Linked DNA regions of Elephas maximus indicus. The protein of the gene in region 2 interacts with the protein of the main gene of each other region in a pairwise test. Links are inferred from orthologs where the notes say so. Each region holds a gene or a part of one and is shown on either strand. Other genes may lie near its edges.

Region 1 (7,658 bases), on a different chromosome or scaffold from region 2:
ACCCTAGTTTAAGGTGTTTCAGACTAGGGGAAGACGCCTTACAAAAGTACCAAACAAAACAATGTAAGGCTGGCCTTGCACAGGTGGACTCTTTAACATTCAGACACTGTATCTGGGTGCAACCGAACAAAAGCACCGAGACATTTGCTGATGTCAGCATAATTCAAATAACAAAAAAATTATCATTAAAGGGTATCTGGTCAACTACAGGAAACCCCGGTGGTACTGCGGTTAACAGTTTGGCTGCTAACCAAAAGGCTGGCAGTTTGAATCTACCAGGCACTCCCTGGGTTGCTATGACTCGAACTGACTCAACGGCAATGGTTTTTTCATTTGGTTTCATCAACTATAGGGTTGCCATGAGTCAGAACTTACTCCATGGCAAAGGGTTTGGTCAACTATAGGGTCGTTATAAGTCAGAACTTACTTCATAGCAAAGGGTTTGGTCAACTATAGGGTCGTTATGAGTCAGAACTTACTCCATGGCAAAGGGTTTGGTCAACTATAGGGTCGTTACGAGTCAGAACTTACTCCATGGCAAAGGTTTGGTCAACTATAGGGTTGCTATGAGTCAGAACTTACTCCATGGCAAAGGGTTTGGTCAACTGTAGGGTTGCTATGAGTCAGAACTTACTCGATGGCAAAGGTCTGGTCAACTATAAGGTCGCTATGAGTCAGAACTTACTCCATGGCAAAGGGTTTGGTCAACTATAGGTTCGCTATGAGTCAGAATTTACTCGATGGCAAAGAGTTTGGATTTTTTGGGGTTGGTCAACTATAATACTGCATCGCTAAATTTCAGACCACAATCACTGATAACTCCCGATCTCCTAAAATTAAAAACAGTGACCCTTCAGAATACGAGTGCTTTTCCACAGACCACACCACTCCATCTATGGTCCTCTGTGAGGTACCCTGACCCAGTCTAGACACTGCGTAAGTCAACACACAAAATCACCGACAGGTTTTATAAACTACTTTTAGGAAAGAGCAATAGTTTCTATGTACTTTTACAGGAATGTAAAGCCAAATGGAAAATTCCAAGGAGGTCAGGTGTATAAGATGCTTAAAAGAAAAGACAAAAAACCAAACCTGTTGCCGCTGAGTCAATTCCGACTCATAGAGACCCTATCGGACAGAGTAAAATTTCCAAGGAGCGGCTGGTAAATTCGAACTGCTGACCTTTTGGTTAGCAGCCTAGCTCTTAACCAGTTGTCACCAGGGTTAGGAAGCTTAGGAGAGTCTAACTTGAACTCCTAAAGTTACCAGAAGACTTTATTGTCTAAAGGTAAGATTAAAAAAACAAAACAAAGAACCCAGGCTCGGTATATTACGACCACCTTATTGTCCAGTCCCATTACAACTAAAACCCCTTGGATCTGCCTTAAATTGAATTCCACTCTGTTTAAGCACAGAAGAGTTCCTGGGTACTACTGAACATTTTTTGAAACTAGAGGGAGAAAAAAAAATCCAAATGACTAGTTACTAGATTCAAGATGAATGAAGTACAAATTTGGTGTCTAGAAACCTACCCCAAAGGCAACAATTCCAAGTCATCCAACATCTATTTCTTTTTTATTAGCAAATAAAATATCCTTTGAAATACCATAACAGGTAGCTCCACCCCCCAACTTCCATGTTATAGTGTCAGGCTTGATACTGGCTACACTCCTGCACCAATACAAGCCTTTGTTTAAGTCATTCCCAAACCCAGGTATTAAAAGTGATCATTCTTCACCAAACAAAGATAGTTTGGCGCTGTAACCCAGGAGAGGGGACACCTCAGTAGGTACCACTGGGGTGTTAATCCTGGGAAAGTTATCCATTCTGTCTCTTTTACAAAGTCCAAGTGGGCCCTTGACAAACAGCAAGGTGTCTTACACACCATCTTCTCAATTCTCTATGAGGTACCCTGCATTAGGGGGAAAACACACACAACAACAACAGAGCATTAGGGCGAAAACACACACACAACAGTGCAGGTTCCTGGAATTAAACGCCCTAAGCTTTTTATTCACCACTCAAGGGTCTTTCTTGTCAACAAAGAGCTTCAACTGTAGCCTTCTGCGTTTGACCAAACTCAGGAAGAGCCTAAATGCCATCCCCTTTGCAGGTCAGAACGGAAAACCAGAGGGAAATACAATTCTCTGCCAGGACGCACACAGTGCTTGGCAACAGGCACTATGACCCCTCGGAAAGATTAAAAAGTTTTTTTAAAAAAAAGCTACAATGTATTTGTTTTCGTTGGTTCCCCCGCCGCCCGCCGTGAATCAGGCCGCTCCCGGGCTCCGGCCCCCAATCTGTCCCCCTCGGCCTCCGACCTGGCCTCAGCCGGCTGCCGGCGAGGAGGACCCGGGCCCGGGGGAGGCGGCACCCCGAGTCCCGGCTGCACCCCGAGCCCCAGAGGCACCCCGAGCCCCGGCTGCACCCCGAGCCCCAGAGGCATCCCGAGCCCCGGCTGCACCCCGAGCCCCGGCAGCGCCCCGGCAGCACCCCGAACCCCGGCAGCGCCCCGGCAGCCCCAGCGGCACCCCGAGCCCCGGCTGCACCCCGAACCCCGGCTGCACCCCGAGCCCCAGCAGCGCCCTCCCGGGGGACGCGGCGGAAGCGGAGCTCGGCCTCGGGGCGCGGCCGCGGCTGCCAGGGGGCAACGGGGCGCGAGGCGGGCGACACGCCGGGGTGGGCGGCAGCCACACGGAGGACGCGCCGACGAGCAGGGCCCGGGAGCCCAACGGCCGCGACCCCGCCGGGCGCGCCATTTCCAGGCCCCGCGCCTCCCAGGCCTCAGGGCGCCTCCCAGGCTCTGGGCCCGCCCGCCCCGGAGAGCTGAGCGCCCGCCGCCCCGAGCGCCCGAGCCCCGAGCCCGCCGCCTGGCCGCGGCCCGCGCGCCCGCCGCCTCACCCTCTGCCGCCGCCGAAGCTGCTGTAGGCCCGATCGTCGTAGGTGTCGAAGTCCGCCATTTGCCGTCTCCTCCGAGGGAACCAGGCTGCGCGCCCAAGGACCCCGCGCTCCGCCCCGCCCCGCCGCCGGGCTGTCCGCCGCGCCGCCTGATCGCAAATCGCACGCACGCGCGGGGGCGCGCACGCAAGCCGCGCCCGGCCTGCGCCCCGGGCTCTCCTGGCCACGTGGCTCTCCTGGCCACGTGGCGCGGCGCGGGGTCCCGGGCCGCCCTCCTTCCTGCCGGCTCGGCCCCGCCAGACGGCCCACCGGCCCGCCCGGCCCATTGTGTGCTGGCTCGGTGCCGTCCCCCCCCCCCCCCCGCCGCGGCTGCCCCGCGCTCCCGGCTGCGGCCCTCCGGCCTCGCCCCGACCCTGCGCGGCCCCTCTCCCGGCCGGGGGTGGCCGGGTGACAGCAGAGCGAGGGCCGCCTTCCGCAGGGTGCAGAGCGCGCGGAGCTGAGGGTGCTGGGGCGAACCCCGAGCGGAGACAGGGTGCTGGGGCGAACCCCGAGCGGGGACAGGGTGCTGGGGCGAACCCCGAGGGGAGACTGGGTGCTGGGGCGAACCCCGAGCGGAGACAGGGTGCTGGGGCGAACCCCGAGCGGGGACAGGGTGCTGGGGCGAACCCCGAGCGGGGACAGGGTGCTGGGGCGAACCCCGAGCGGAGACAGGGTGCTGGGGCGAACCCCGAGGGGAGACAGGGTGCTGGGGCGAACCCCGAGCGGAGACAGGGTGCTGGGGCGAACCCCGAGCGGAGACAGGGTGCTGGGGCGAACCCCGAGCGGAGACAGGGTGCTGGGGCGAACCCCGAGGGAAGACTGGGTGCTGGGGCGAACCCCGAGCGGAGACAGGGTGCTGGGGTGAACTCTGCCCTCGGAGGTCTACGCCGCGCCTGGCTGTTGGGGGGCGGGGGTCACAGGGTGTAGGCGGTGGTTAAACGAGGGAGTCGTTGGGCCGGGAACAGTGGAACCCAGACGTGAAGTCCATTCTCTGGCGGCTGCAGAGAGTGAATTTGCAATGCCGATTAATCGATTAATCGCCTGGCTGATTTCTCAGGTTTTAGACCGAGATGGCAGTAAGGTCAGATACTCCTACCGTGGAGGTACCGATGTTGACGAGCCCTACTGTGTTTTCGGCCCAACTTAAAGGAATTTCACAGAATCTTCTTGCAGTGTATACCCAGGTATCTTACACTCACACAGTATTTTTATATATTAAACATTTTCCCATACCTTATCCCTGTACCGGGGTTGGCAAAGCAGCCGTTAACTCATTTTTTGTTTTTCTGTCCCTTTTTCTTTCCGAGTAAGAGAACAGGAACTTTGACATCCGTTAAGAGCTTGGCTGCTGACCGAAAGGTTGCTGGTTCAAACCCACCCAGTGGCTCTTTGGGAGAAAGACCAGATGGTCTGCTTCCCTAAAGATTACTGCGTAGAAAACCCTATGGGGCAGTTCTATCCTGTCACATGGCACCTAACAGCAACAACAGACTTGGCCTGGGTTCTGCCTCCAACTGGTTGTGTGACCTCAGGTACGTTACCTAAGCTCTAACAGCTCAGTTTCCTCACCTTTTGAGGAACGACAGCAGTTACCTCTTCAGTGTTGTAAAGATTAAACGAGTAAATATTTGTTAAAATCCTAGCACAAAATAATATGTATTTGGCATGTACCATGTGTCTGGTACCCTTCTGGTGTTTTACATATATAATTTCCAAATTTCTTTACAGCTGAGGAAACAGGCCCAGAGTAAGCAAGTGAGTCGCGGGAGGCCACGCAGCTTTGACTTCTACCACACGACTCAGAGAAGAACCAATGGTTTCTCCTCTCCCTCCACAGCTTTAAGTTAGGTCCCTCCTCCACATCCCTGCCCCATAGCTCCATTGCTGTTAAAATGCACCTGAATGCGTTTTAGGGGGCAGTGGTGGTTCGGAGGTAGAAGTCTTGCCTGTCATGCTGGGTTTGACTCTCAGTCGGTGTAGCCCAGGCACAGTCACCACCTGTCTGCCAGTGGAAGCTTTGGTGTTCTCTGATGCTAACTTCCAGACAGACTGTCAGCCAATGGAAACCCTGTGGATCACAACAGTTCGAGCCTGTTGTGCGTGGTGTCACCATGGGTTGGAGGCCAACTCGACGGCAGCTGACAACAACAACAACAAATGGCATTTTAATAAATGAAACCTTAGTAATTATTCCTGGATAGCCTTAACATTTCTTATTCCAAAGTCTGTGCATTTTTAGTCCAAAGTCACCTCGAGGTGATGTCCTGGAGGACAGGGACCACATAGAGGAGGCTCTGTCTGTCATCTCCCACAGGACCCTACAGGAGAGGAAAGACGGGTAATTTATTAGCAATGAAGTAAAGGGAGGGAGAGCTCCTAGGAAGGCCTATGGCTGGGCCTCCCTCAGCACCAGGACCTCCATGGGTTATCCCCTCCCTCCTGGCTTAGTCCCCGTTTCCACCCAGCAGAACCCGAGACCAGTCGCTTGGACCACACTCCCAGACTCCAATCCGTAGGCCTGTCTCTTGGCTTCAAGCACACAGTCTACCTCCCACACAGGATCCAGAGGATTGAACGCAACTTAAGAAAGTTCCATAAACAGAGCATGTGCCTCAATGACAAAAGTTAGTTGTCCAGTCAGGTTTGCTCCTAATTTGCTTCCTAATTCCTTCCCCAGAGTGGATATCCCAGCCTTTACTAATTCACTTGAGCCCTAGGGGAAGGACAACCCCTTTGAAGGCCCGACTCAGACGTCACCTCTGAGAAGCCTTTGGTGTCATAGTGAAACCAGTGGCTTCACGTTTCAAACCGCCTGTGTTCAAATTCGAGCCACCAACTACTAGCTGTGTGACTTCAAGCAAGTTGCTTAATCTCTCTGAACCGAGTTCTTCGTCTATAGGAGTAATAGTCCTTGTGGTACTGGTTTTCACTATTCTTGCTATTTTTAAGGTCTGAAATATTGGTATTTGTTGGTGTCATACTTCTAATTGTTTTAAAAAATCTGAAATATTGTTTTCGTGTGGAATTAAGATCATTGACTTAAATATTCAATTTATATGAAAAGACATGCTGATACTCTACAAATCTACATAGATCCTTCTCTTGCAAGCACAAGTGTTACTCTAGGTCAGAGGCTTTGCCAACAAGTGAGTATGAATGTGAGAAAATTGAAACTGACACATGGAATCTCCACCTATACGTGACGAAAATAAAGAAGACAAAAATATACTGAAAAATGTTTAGTTTGAAACCAAAACGGTAGCTTGCTAGCACTAAAAATGTGCAGACTTTGCAATGTAGCTAAAATTTTTTTTTTTTTTTTCAAAAAGATCTGAAACGTATCAAATAAGAGATAGATACATTTGAAGAAGACACTTCAGCTCCTGTGCTGCTCCCCCACCCAGTCTGTTTTCTGTGTTGCAGTCGTGTGTTCTGTCCAAAGCCCAGATCTGGTCACTTCCCTGTGCTCAAACCCGCCTTCCTTCCTCACAGTGGGTGTCAAAGTCCTTACAAGACCTGGATGGCCTGCCCATCTTCCCGGCCACGCTGGCCTCTTTGCTCTTTCTCTCATACCCATCGCCTTCCCACCTCTGCCCTCCCTCTGCCTGGATTACTCTTCCCTCTGATGCCCTCAAGGCTCCCACCTTTTCTTCTCTTTCTCTAACTGCCCTATCTGAAATAAAGACAGATCCCAGTTGTTTCTCCAGTGCCCTGCTCGGTTCCTTTTGCTAGCACTCATCACCACCTGACTTGTGTGTCTTCCCTGAAAACAGGGAGTTTGTTTTGCTCAGGGCCTGTGTCATAGAAGGTGCTCAATAAATAGCTGTTGCTTTAATGAAAACTGGAATCAGAAATATTTAGTCAGATTAAAACCATTTTTTCATCATTCCCTCAACTTGGCTAGTGTAAAATTCTAGTAGTAGTGTCAGAGCCTGTCTGACTTCAGGGAGAGTAATGACCAGGATCAGCCCAAAGCTGGTTACTCGGAGGTGGAGGTCCGACACACTTCCACTCTCCGACCTTTTTACTAATTCTGACAGCAGCTGTCTCTCCCATGGCATTCTCTACTTCTCTTCTGGGTTTGATAATCTGTTGCAGTGACCACACAGAACACACAGACCATGCTTACATTTAAGTGATTTATGAAGGAAGTAACGGGTATGTCTCGGGATCAGGATCCACAGGCTACAGCTCGGGATCAGGGTCAGGAAGCAGGTAGGCAGTCTGGGAGGCTCCTTCGAACAGGGGAGCACATTCCTTCTTCAGCGCAGGACAGTTCTCTCAGCTGGTCTCAGCCATGCAAGCAAGCAAGCAAGCCAGCCCATCTCTGCTGTACACGCCTCCTCTCAGCCATGCAGGACTCCTCTTGGCCCCCTCAGGACAGGCTTCCTCTCAGCCCCCTTAAGACAGGCCTCTCCGTCTTCTGCCTCCCTGCCGTTGGCCTCTGTGTTGTTAACTGACCCGAATCATAGTTAGTGTAGCAGTTTTGTTCAGCTCTCTTAGCCTCAGCAGATTTCTGCTGCCACTAACAACTCTGCCACGGGGCCCTATCCAGGCCTCTCGCTGTCTTCAGTGTTAGACACTGACCTGTGTTACAGCTCCTTTAGGAGTTTCCTTGCCTCCTCTCTGCTTCTCCCTTCTTGCCTGTCTTGCTGTCTTAGGCTGGGTTCTCTAAAGAAGTAAAACCAGTAAAATGTATAAATATATAGAGAGATTTATAT
Region 2 (7,592 bases):
TCAGTCTCCTTTGGTGTCTGTCCCAGTCCCTCTCCTCTCTACTTTGTCATGGTTCACACACCTGTCTCCCACGTCCACCGCCCACTTGACAGCACCCCTTTTAGCAGTCTCAAGGTGTGATGGTTAATTTTCTGTGTCAACTTGGCTAGGTTATGGTTCCCAGTGGTTTGGCCAAACTAGACTAGCTGCTGTTCCTCCAATGCAATCTAACGTAGTTATCATTTTCCATAATCTAGTTTAATGCAATCAGTTGAAAAGGGAGTTTCCTCAGCGTGTGTTCTGCCTTTAGACTATGTTGTTGTTGTTGTTAGGTGCCACTGGGTCAGTTCCGACTCATAGTGGCCCTATGTACAACACAACGAAACGTTGCCCGGTCCTGTGCCATGATCACAATCGTGATACTTAAGTCCATTGTTGCAGCCACTGTGTCAATCCATCTCGTTGAGGGTCTTCCTCTTTTCCACGGACCTCTACTTTACTAAGCATGATGCCCTCTCCAGGGACTGATTCCTTCTGACAACATGCCAAAGTATGTAAGATGCAGTCTCGCCATCCTTGCTTCTGAAGAGCATTCTGGTTGTTCTTCCAAGATAGGTTTGTTCCTACTTTGGGCAGTCTATGGTATACACAACATTCTTCACCAACACAATTCAAAGGCGTCAATTCTTTTTCGGTTTTCCTTTTTTTTTTTTTATTCATTGTCTAGCTTTTGCACGCAGATGATGCGATTGAAAATACCATGGCTTGGGTCAGGCGCACCTTAGTCTTCAAGGTAACATCTTTGCTTTTCAACTCTTTAAAGAGATCCTTTGCAACAGCAACGACTTTAGACTGTAAGTATTTTAGGTATTTGGGCAGAATGCACTCTCCACTCTGCCCTCTGTCGTCTGATCTACAGATCTTGAGATTAAAGCCTGCATTAGTCTCCAGCCTTTCACCTGACCCACGAATTTTGTACTTGTCAGTCCACCACAATCCTGTGCACCAAATCCTTGAAGTAAAGCCGTGTATATATACAGAATAAGATCTGGTGGTGAAAAAGGTTAAGCACTCAGCTACTAACTGAAAGGTTGGTGGTTTGAACCCACCCAGCGACTCCGTGGGAGAAAGACCTGGCAATTTGGTTTCTTAAAAAATATAACCAAGAAAACCCTACGGGGCAGTTTTACTGTCATGGGGTCACTGAGTCAGAGTCAAGTCAATGACAGCTAACAACGTGCATATATATGCATACATGTATAGCTCACTGGTTCTGTTCCTCGGGAGACTCTTAAGATACATAAGCACTCCAATTAATCACAGACACACTTGTGATCCCGAGGCCACATCGTCCTCTTCCTCCTGTGGCCCCCAGCTGGAAAAAGACCCCACCCCCACTGAAGTTGCTAAAGAAAGAAACCTGGGGGTTGTCCTTGATAACTCCCTCCCTCTTGGCCCCATGTCCGGCCATTGACAGTGGTCTTCACGGAGGCCCTGTCTGTCCACTGCCCTTCGGACCCCTGCCCCACCTGACCCAGGCTGCTATGGCCCTTGATACCCTCCTGCAGGGTTCCCTGCTCCTTGATGCCTCCACAAGGAAGTCATTGACTTGTTAAAACCAGATATAATCACAGCCTCCCTGGTCAGAAATGCCTGTTGAATGACCAACTGTGTCACTGCCCAGCTCGAAAACCGGCACGAAGCCCTTCATGATGATGCCTACCGTGCCGCTGCTCCTTCCCACACCCTCTATCACACCAGGCGCAAGTGGGTCTTCAAAGCCCATTCCCATTACTTATCCCGCCTAGCCCTCCCCAGCAGCCCAAGGTGGGTGGAGTGGGCTCCACGCAAGAGATGAGATTGCTAAGAAAAGGGCAGGAGCCTGCCCCGTGCCCCCCAGCATACCCAGCACCTGCTGGCTCAGCCCCCAGGCCGCTCCACCCGCCTTCCTTTCATCAACATCTTTAGGCCTGCCCCAGGCAGAACCTTAGACTCTGGCCTCTCCAGTGGACCTCTCCCTTCCCTTCACTCAGCCACTGCCCAGCCCACCACTGCCCCTGGGCCCAGCTCAGTGGGGGGAAGGCAGGTGAATGGGAAAGTGGCCACAGAGCCCCAGACAGAGACTGGAACAAACACCGATGTTCCCTTTTATTTTTTTAATAAATTTAAGAACAGCTTTCTTTTCTCCCCCCCCCCCAGAACAACTAAAACCAACTAAAAGGGGGTGTAGCCTGGGGGGCAGGGGGCGCTAGGAGTCATAATCCTCTTCATCCTCTGCATCTGGTCCTGATGGGCCCGGGGGTGCTAGGGGCAGAAGCACAGTCGAGGTGAAGGGCATGAAGGGTGTCGGGGGGCTGTGAGGCAGAAAGCAAGAAAGGCTGATCAGACCACGCTCTGGGCCCATTCCTGCCTGTGGAGCCCCACCCCACCCTCTACAGAGGCAGGCAAGGAGCCCATTACCCTTTGTGCCCACAGGAAGCCATGCCCCAGAGAAGAGAAAGGCCCAACGAAGGTCAAAGAGCTTTGTCAAAGCTCTGTCCACTGTCCCCACCTGGGGGGAAAAGGGGCCTTCTGAGAGCACAACTCAGTTCCTCCCAGTTCCCCCCAAATCTGCTACAATCCACAGAACCAGTGTCCGTAGAGGACAAGAAGGACAGGCCGGCCTTGGCAAGTGGGCTGGTCCTCCTGGCTCGGCTAAGCTGCTTACCTTTGAAAGTGGGGAGGGGGATGGCTGGCCTGGGGTGGGGGCTGTGGTGTCTCCTCTTCCCCCTCTGTGTCCGTGTCCTCAGACTCATCCTGTAACGGAAATGGGTCAGAGTAACAAGAAAAGGGATGTCTAGACCTATCACTGGGGACCCCAGAGCTCTGGGAGTGGTGGGACAGGACACAGATCCCAACAGATCCAATTTACAAACAAAGAAACTAAGGTGTAATATGGTTTCTGGTAAGGATGGGTACCAGCCTCCAGCCAGCTCAGCCTGATGCTGAGGCTTCCAGGTGCCACCCTCTCCATCACAGCTGGGCCAGACAGAGCTGGGCCTCCTCACCTCCTGCTCTGAGTCCGTCCCTGACAGCTTCTTGTCCTTGCCTTTGCTGCCCATGCCACCGTTCTTCCGGCTGCTGGTGCCTGGCTTCCGGCCCCTTTGGGAAAGTACAGTCCATGTGCCCAGGGGTCTCCCCTCTCCTGAAGCACCCCCAATCACCACCTACCCCTGTGGCCTTGGCCTTCCCTGCCTGGACACCTGGCCCCCCACCTGCGGGCACCCTTGTCTCCATCCATGTGGTTGTCTTCCCCGTCCCCCTGCATGTCAGGCACGGAGGCCACCAGGTCCTTCAGAAAGTCAAACTGCTGCTCCAGTTCAATGCACTGCTTCCTGGAAGAGAGGGAAAACAGCACTCAGACAGGGTACTCGGGTAGGGCCCAGCGAAGTGGCCAGGATGTCAGGGAAGGGGGAACTATAAGAGCTCCCTCCCCGTCTCCACCACCAAACCTGTGCTCTCTGCTCAGGTTATTTCCCCAGCCTGGAACACCCAGGCCTTGCTTCACGGGTCCAATCCCACTGTCTCCAAGCCGTCTCCCACCACCCTCTTGTTTAGAGCTCCCCCGCCTAGGAGGTAGAGTACAGCCCCCTTAAGAGAGAGAACTCGTGAACTTCTCGGCCAGGACCCCTCCCAGCCCCGCGGGCCACTCACAGGTGGGACGTGGTCATAGTCTTGGCATTGCGGGACTGGGTCACCTGGCAGGCCTTCTTCAGCAGCGACTCCAGGAAGAGCTCCAGCGCCCGGGCTGAGCGGTGTTAAGGAGAAGATGGTAGGGGGATTCCCGACCTGCCCCCCTCTCCCACGCCCCCCAACCGGCCAGCCCCCGGCAGGATACAGATGATGACAGGCACAGCCGCCGCCACCTTCCCAATCTCCTCGTCAGTCTGCATGATCTTCTTGATTCGCGCCTGGGGAGAGGGGCAGAGTTCGGACCCCACCACTTCCTTCATGAAAAAGGGTACTGGGGGTACGAGAGGGAATTCCGGGAGAAATGCGCGGGAGGGGGGGGCACAGAAGGGGGAAGGGAAGGGGGCGGGGCGTCCGGGCCCCCGGACGCCCGAAGTGCCCGCCCCCCCCAGCGGGGCTCGGGCCGGGCCTCCAGGGAGCCGGGCCTGCTCCACCCCAGCCTGGCCACGTGCTCACCGGCGGGAACCGCGCGTTGTACTTCTTCTTCTTGCTCGGCATCTTGGGGCCTCTCCCGACGCGCCGGGCCCAGCGCCGCCGCCCGCAGCCTCCCGGCCCCCGGGCCTGCTCACCGCCCGCCCGTCGCGCTTCCCCCGGGTCCTGGCGCCGCCTGCTCCGCCCCCCGCCGCTGCCCACGGGGTCCTAGTGCCGCCGCTCAGGACGAAGCTCGCAGCGCACAGGGCCCTCCCCTTCACCCTCCGGGGCGGTGCGCGTCTCCTCCGGCCGTCCGGCCCGCCTCTCCCTCCGGCCCTCAAGGCCTGAAGATCGAACGTTAGCTCCGCCCCCCGGCCGGCCCGCCCCCTCTGGTTCCCGCGATGGCCCCGCCCCTTCCTGTCGGCCCCGCCCAGCCCAGCTGCCCGGCGGCCCCGCCCCGTGGCTGCGCTTGTCTATAAAGTTGTTGTTGAAGCGGCGAGCGCTAAGATGGCGGCGGCGGCGGCGGCCGTGGCGGGGGCGGGGCGCGGTGGTGGCGGCGCGGAGCCCCGGCAGGAACGGAACCGCGCCCGGGGCTGGGCCGGAGCCGAACGCAGCGACGGCCGGAGGTGACGGTGGGGCCGCGGGAGGGGTAGGGCTGGGGCGGGGGCCTTGGTCGGTCTGCGGGTGCTAATGGCGGCGGGCGCGGCGGGGCCGGCGGCTGGCCCTCCGGCAGGCTCTAACCAGCCAAGGTTCGAGTCCGGGCACCGCCCCATCGGCCTCGGTCCCGTCACTGCCTCCGTGGGCCACAGTGTCCTCGTCTTTAAGTGGGCACGACGACGCCCACCGGGAGGCCTGGTCCACAGGGCGCGCCTTGGGTGCTGCGTGAATGTGCCTCCCTCCATTAAATCCAGAGCTCCGGATCCCTGCCGGGCTGAGACCAGACGAAGAGCGCTTTGATAGGGCCAGGAGGCGTGATGGGGCCGGGAGCTTCCACCCCTGGATTCACATTTTTCTCTGCCACTCAGTACAGGTGTGACCTTGGGCAGTTCCCTTCTCTCTGAACGTCAGTCTTCTTGTCTCTAGGTCAATGAGAGTAATGACAATGGCAGTAACACTTATGTAGCGCTTACTGCACCTCAGGCATTTAATTCTCACGGCAGCTCTGTGAGACAGGGAAGGTTGTTACTCCGTTATGAAGTAACTGAGGCACAGTGATATTAAGTCTTGCCCAAGGCCACACAGTTTAGGCCAGTGCCTGGCACCTGTTAGGGCCCAGCTATCGGTAGTTATTGTCCCAGACCTGCCCTGACTCAATTCCCTCACAGCAGGATGGAGTCCGGTGAGGAGCCAGAGGAAGAGGACTCTCCAGGCGGCCGGGAGGATGGTTTTACCGCTGAGCACTTGGCTGCAGAGGCCATGGCAGCTGACATGGACCCCTGGCTGGTGTTTGATGCCCGCAGTACGCCCGCCACTGAGCTGGATGCCTGGTTGGCCAAATACCCACCATCCCAAGTTACCCGCTATGGGGACCCTGGCTCACCCAACTCAGAGCCTGTGGGCTGGATCGCAGTGTATGGGCAGGGCTACCTCCCCAATTCTGGTGATGTACAGGGTCTGCAGGCAGCTTGGGAGGCTCTGCAGACTAGCGGGCGGCCCATCACACCCAGTACCCTGCGCCAGCTGGCTATCACTCACCAGGTGCTCTCAGGCAAGTGGCTGATGCACCTGACACCTGGCTTCAAGCTGGACCATGCCTGGGCTGGCATTGCCCGAGCCGTGGTCGAAGGCCAGCTTCAGGTGGCCAAGGTGAGCCCACGGGCCAAGGAGGGTGGGCGCCAGGTCATCTGTGTTTACACAGATGACTTCACGGACCGCCTGGGTGTACTGGAGGCAGACACAGCCATCCGGGCTGCAGGCATTAAGTGCCTGCTCACCTACAAGCCTGATGTCTACACCTACCTGGGCATCTACCGAGCCAACCGCTGGCACCTCTGCCCCACTCTCTACGAGAGCCGTTTCCAGTTGGGAGGTGATGCCCGCGGCTCTCGTGTGCTTGATCGAGCCAACAATGTGGAACTGACCTAGTGGGGCCAGGCAAACAAGACCACCTTGGGATGGACCATCCATGCCAGTATGGATGTTCCCACCTTCCTCCTTGTCACCCCAAGGAGGCCAGGCCCCAGCTTTGAGGACTGGGTTAGCTCTTTTGGAAACTGCCTGCATCTTTCATTCCCTTGAATCTCTGCCCTCTGATCAGGACTAATGCCAGCCCCCACAAGTGGCGGGGCTCTGGCTTGCTGAGGGCCGGGCCCTCAGCCTCTCTTCGCTGCTGCTCCCCTCAACCTCCCAGGACCACAGGCCGGGGCCAGATGCTGGGGGAGAGCCGTCCTTGGCCACCCCCGTCACCCCACCAGGCTGCACCTTGCCTCCTCCTGCACTGTCCCTTTCCCTTCCTCCTTCACGAGGGAGAAAACTCAGTGCTTCCAGTCTTTCCCCTTGGAGCCTTCTAAGTCCACAGGGCAGGGGTCCTGCGGGCCTGAGCATGCCATTGGGGGTAGAGAAGTAGTTGTGTCACTCAGCCCCTGGCAGAGAGAGGGGACACCAGGGCCCAGGTCACCGGGCCTGCCCCTCCGTGAGATTTACAGCCTGCACCACCTTCCTCCCCTCCTCATATCTTGTCACGTGCCTGCTCCTGGCATTTCAATAAAGCCCAGCTTGGGTCTGTGTCTTGAGTGTTTTTTAAGGCTGTATTGGTGGTTACCTCCTTTGGCTGCTGAAGAGATGCAGAGCCAGGAGAGGACTGCTCCCCAGGCCTGGCCTCCTGTCTGCCCACGGTACTAAGACATGCCTCACCAAGGCCCGGCTCCTCTCAGAACCTCTGTGAAGCCAGCCCTGCTTGTCCCATCCCAAAAATCAGAATCAGTGATTTCCTATAAATGCAAGGGCTTGGCCCTTCCAGAAAGGCCCAAGGGGCCACTATTAGCCTCATTTTTAGGTGTGATATATGTGCCTGTATATGTATAGCATAATGTATTTGGGCATATTAAAGAAAGATGCCCGCTGGGAGAGGCAGCCTGGGCAGGCCTCATGGTTTGGTGAATGGAGAATGGGCTGCATTTCAGTGTCCTAGGCTGGACACACTAGTGCAGGGAACAACCTACACAACCTTCAGTGATGGTCCTGGAAGGTCTCCCATTTATACTCACCTCTCACACTGCCCTGTCAGAGGGGCCACTGGACAGTTTGCAGAGCACTTCCACATGCATCATTGAATTCTCACGTCTTTCTGAAAGAGGTATTGGCCCCATTCTGTGGTCAGGAACACTGAGGCCCAGAGGGGAAAGGGAGTTCCCCAGGATCATGTGGTGAGTTGAGCAGAGACAGCTAGAATTTGCACCCCACCCCTGCCTCCTCTGCCTCTAAGAGGAAACCTCACCCACGGTTAGCTGTTCACAACCCACAAAGCACTTTCA

The links.
Region 1: the proteins of C7H11orf68 (region 2) and EIF4H interact in binary tests that used the Homo sapiens proteins (3 or more experiments, as listed by UniProt). The two-hybrid records come from large-scale screens. The link is inferred for Elephas maximus indicus from reciprocal best matches to the Homo sapiens genes C11orf68 and EIF4H.

Annotation. Positions count from the first base shown.
Region 1 is NC_064830.1:109,561,864-109,569,521, forward strand, and holds the start of EIF4H (eukaryotic translation initiation factor 4H), read right to left. Parts: upstream 3,011-7,658; 5' UTR 2,961-3,010; coding exon 2,902-2,960; intron 1-2,901. UniProt on the Homo sapiens protein: Stimulates the RNA helicase activity of EIF4A in the translation initiation complex. Binds weakly mRNA.
Region 2 is NC_064825.1:129,059,398-129,066,989, reverse strand, and holds C7H11orf68 (UPF0696 protein C11orf68 homolog), read left to right. Parts: upstream 1-4,624; 5' UTR 4,625-4,626; coding exon 4,627-4,745; exon of another isoform or gene 4,746-4,751; intron 4,752-4,807; exon of another isoform or gene 4,808-5,093; coding exon of another isoform or gene 5,094-5,149; intron 5,150-5,444; coding exon 5,445-6,204; 3' UTR 6,205-7,033; downstream 7,034-7,592. Other genes in the region: DRAP1 (dr1-associated corepressor), read right to left, coding at 2,228-2,333, 2,687-2,775, 3,027-3,120, 3,234-3,353, 3,673-3,766, 3,857-3,929, 4,165-4,206.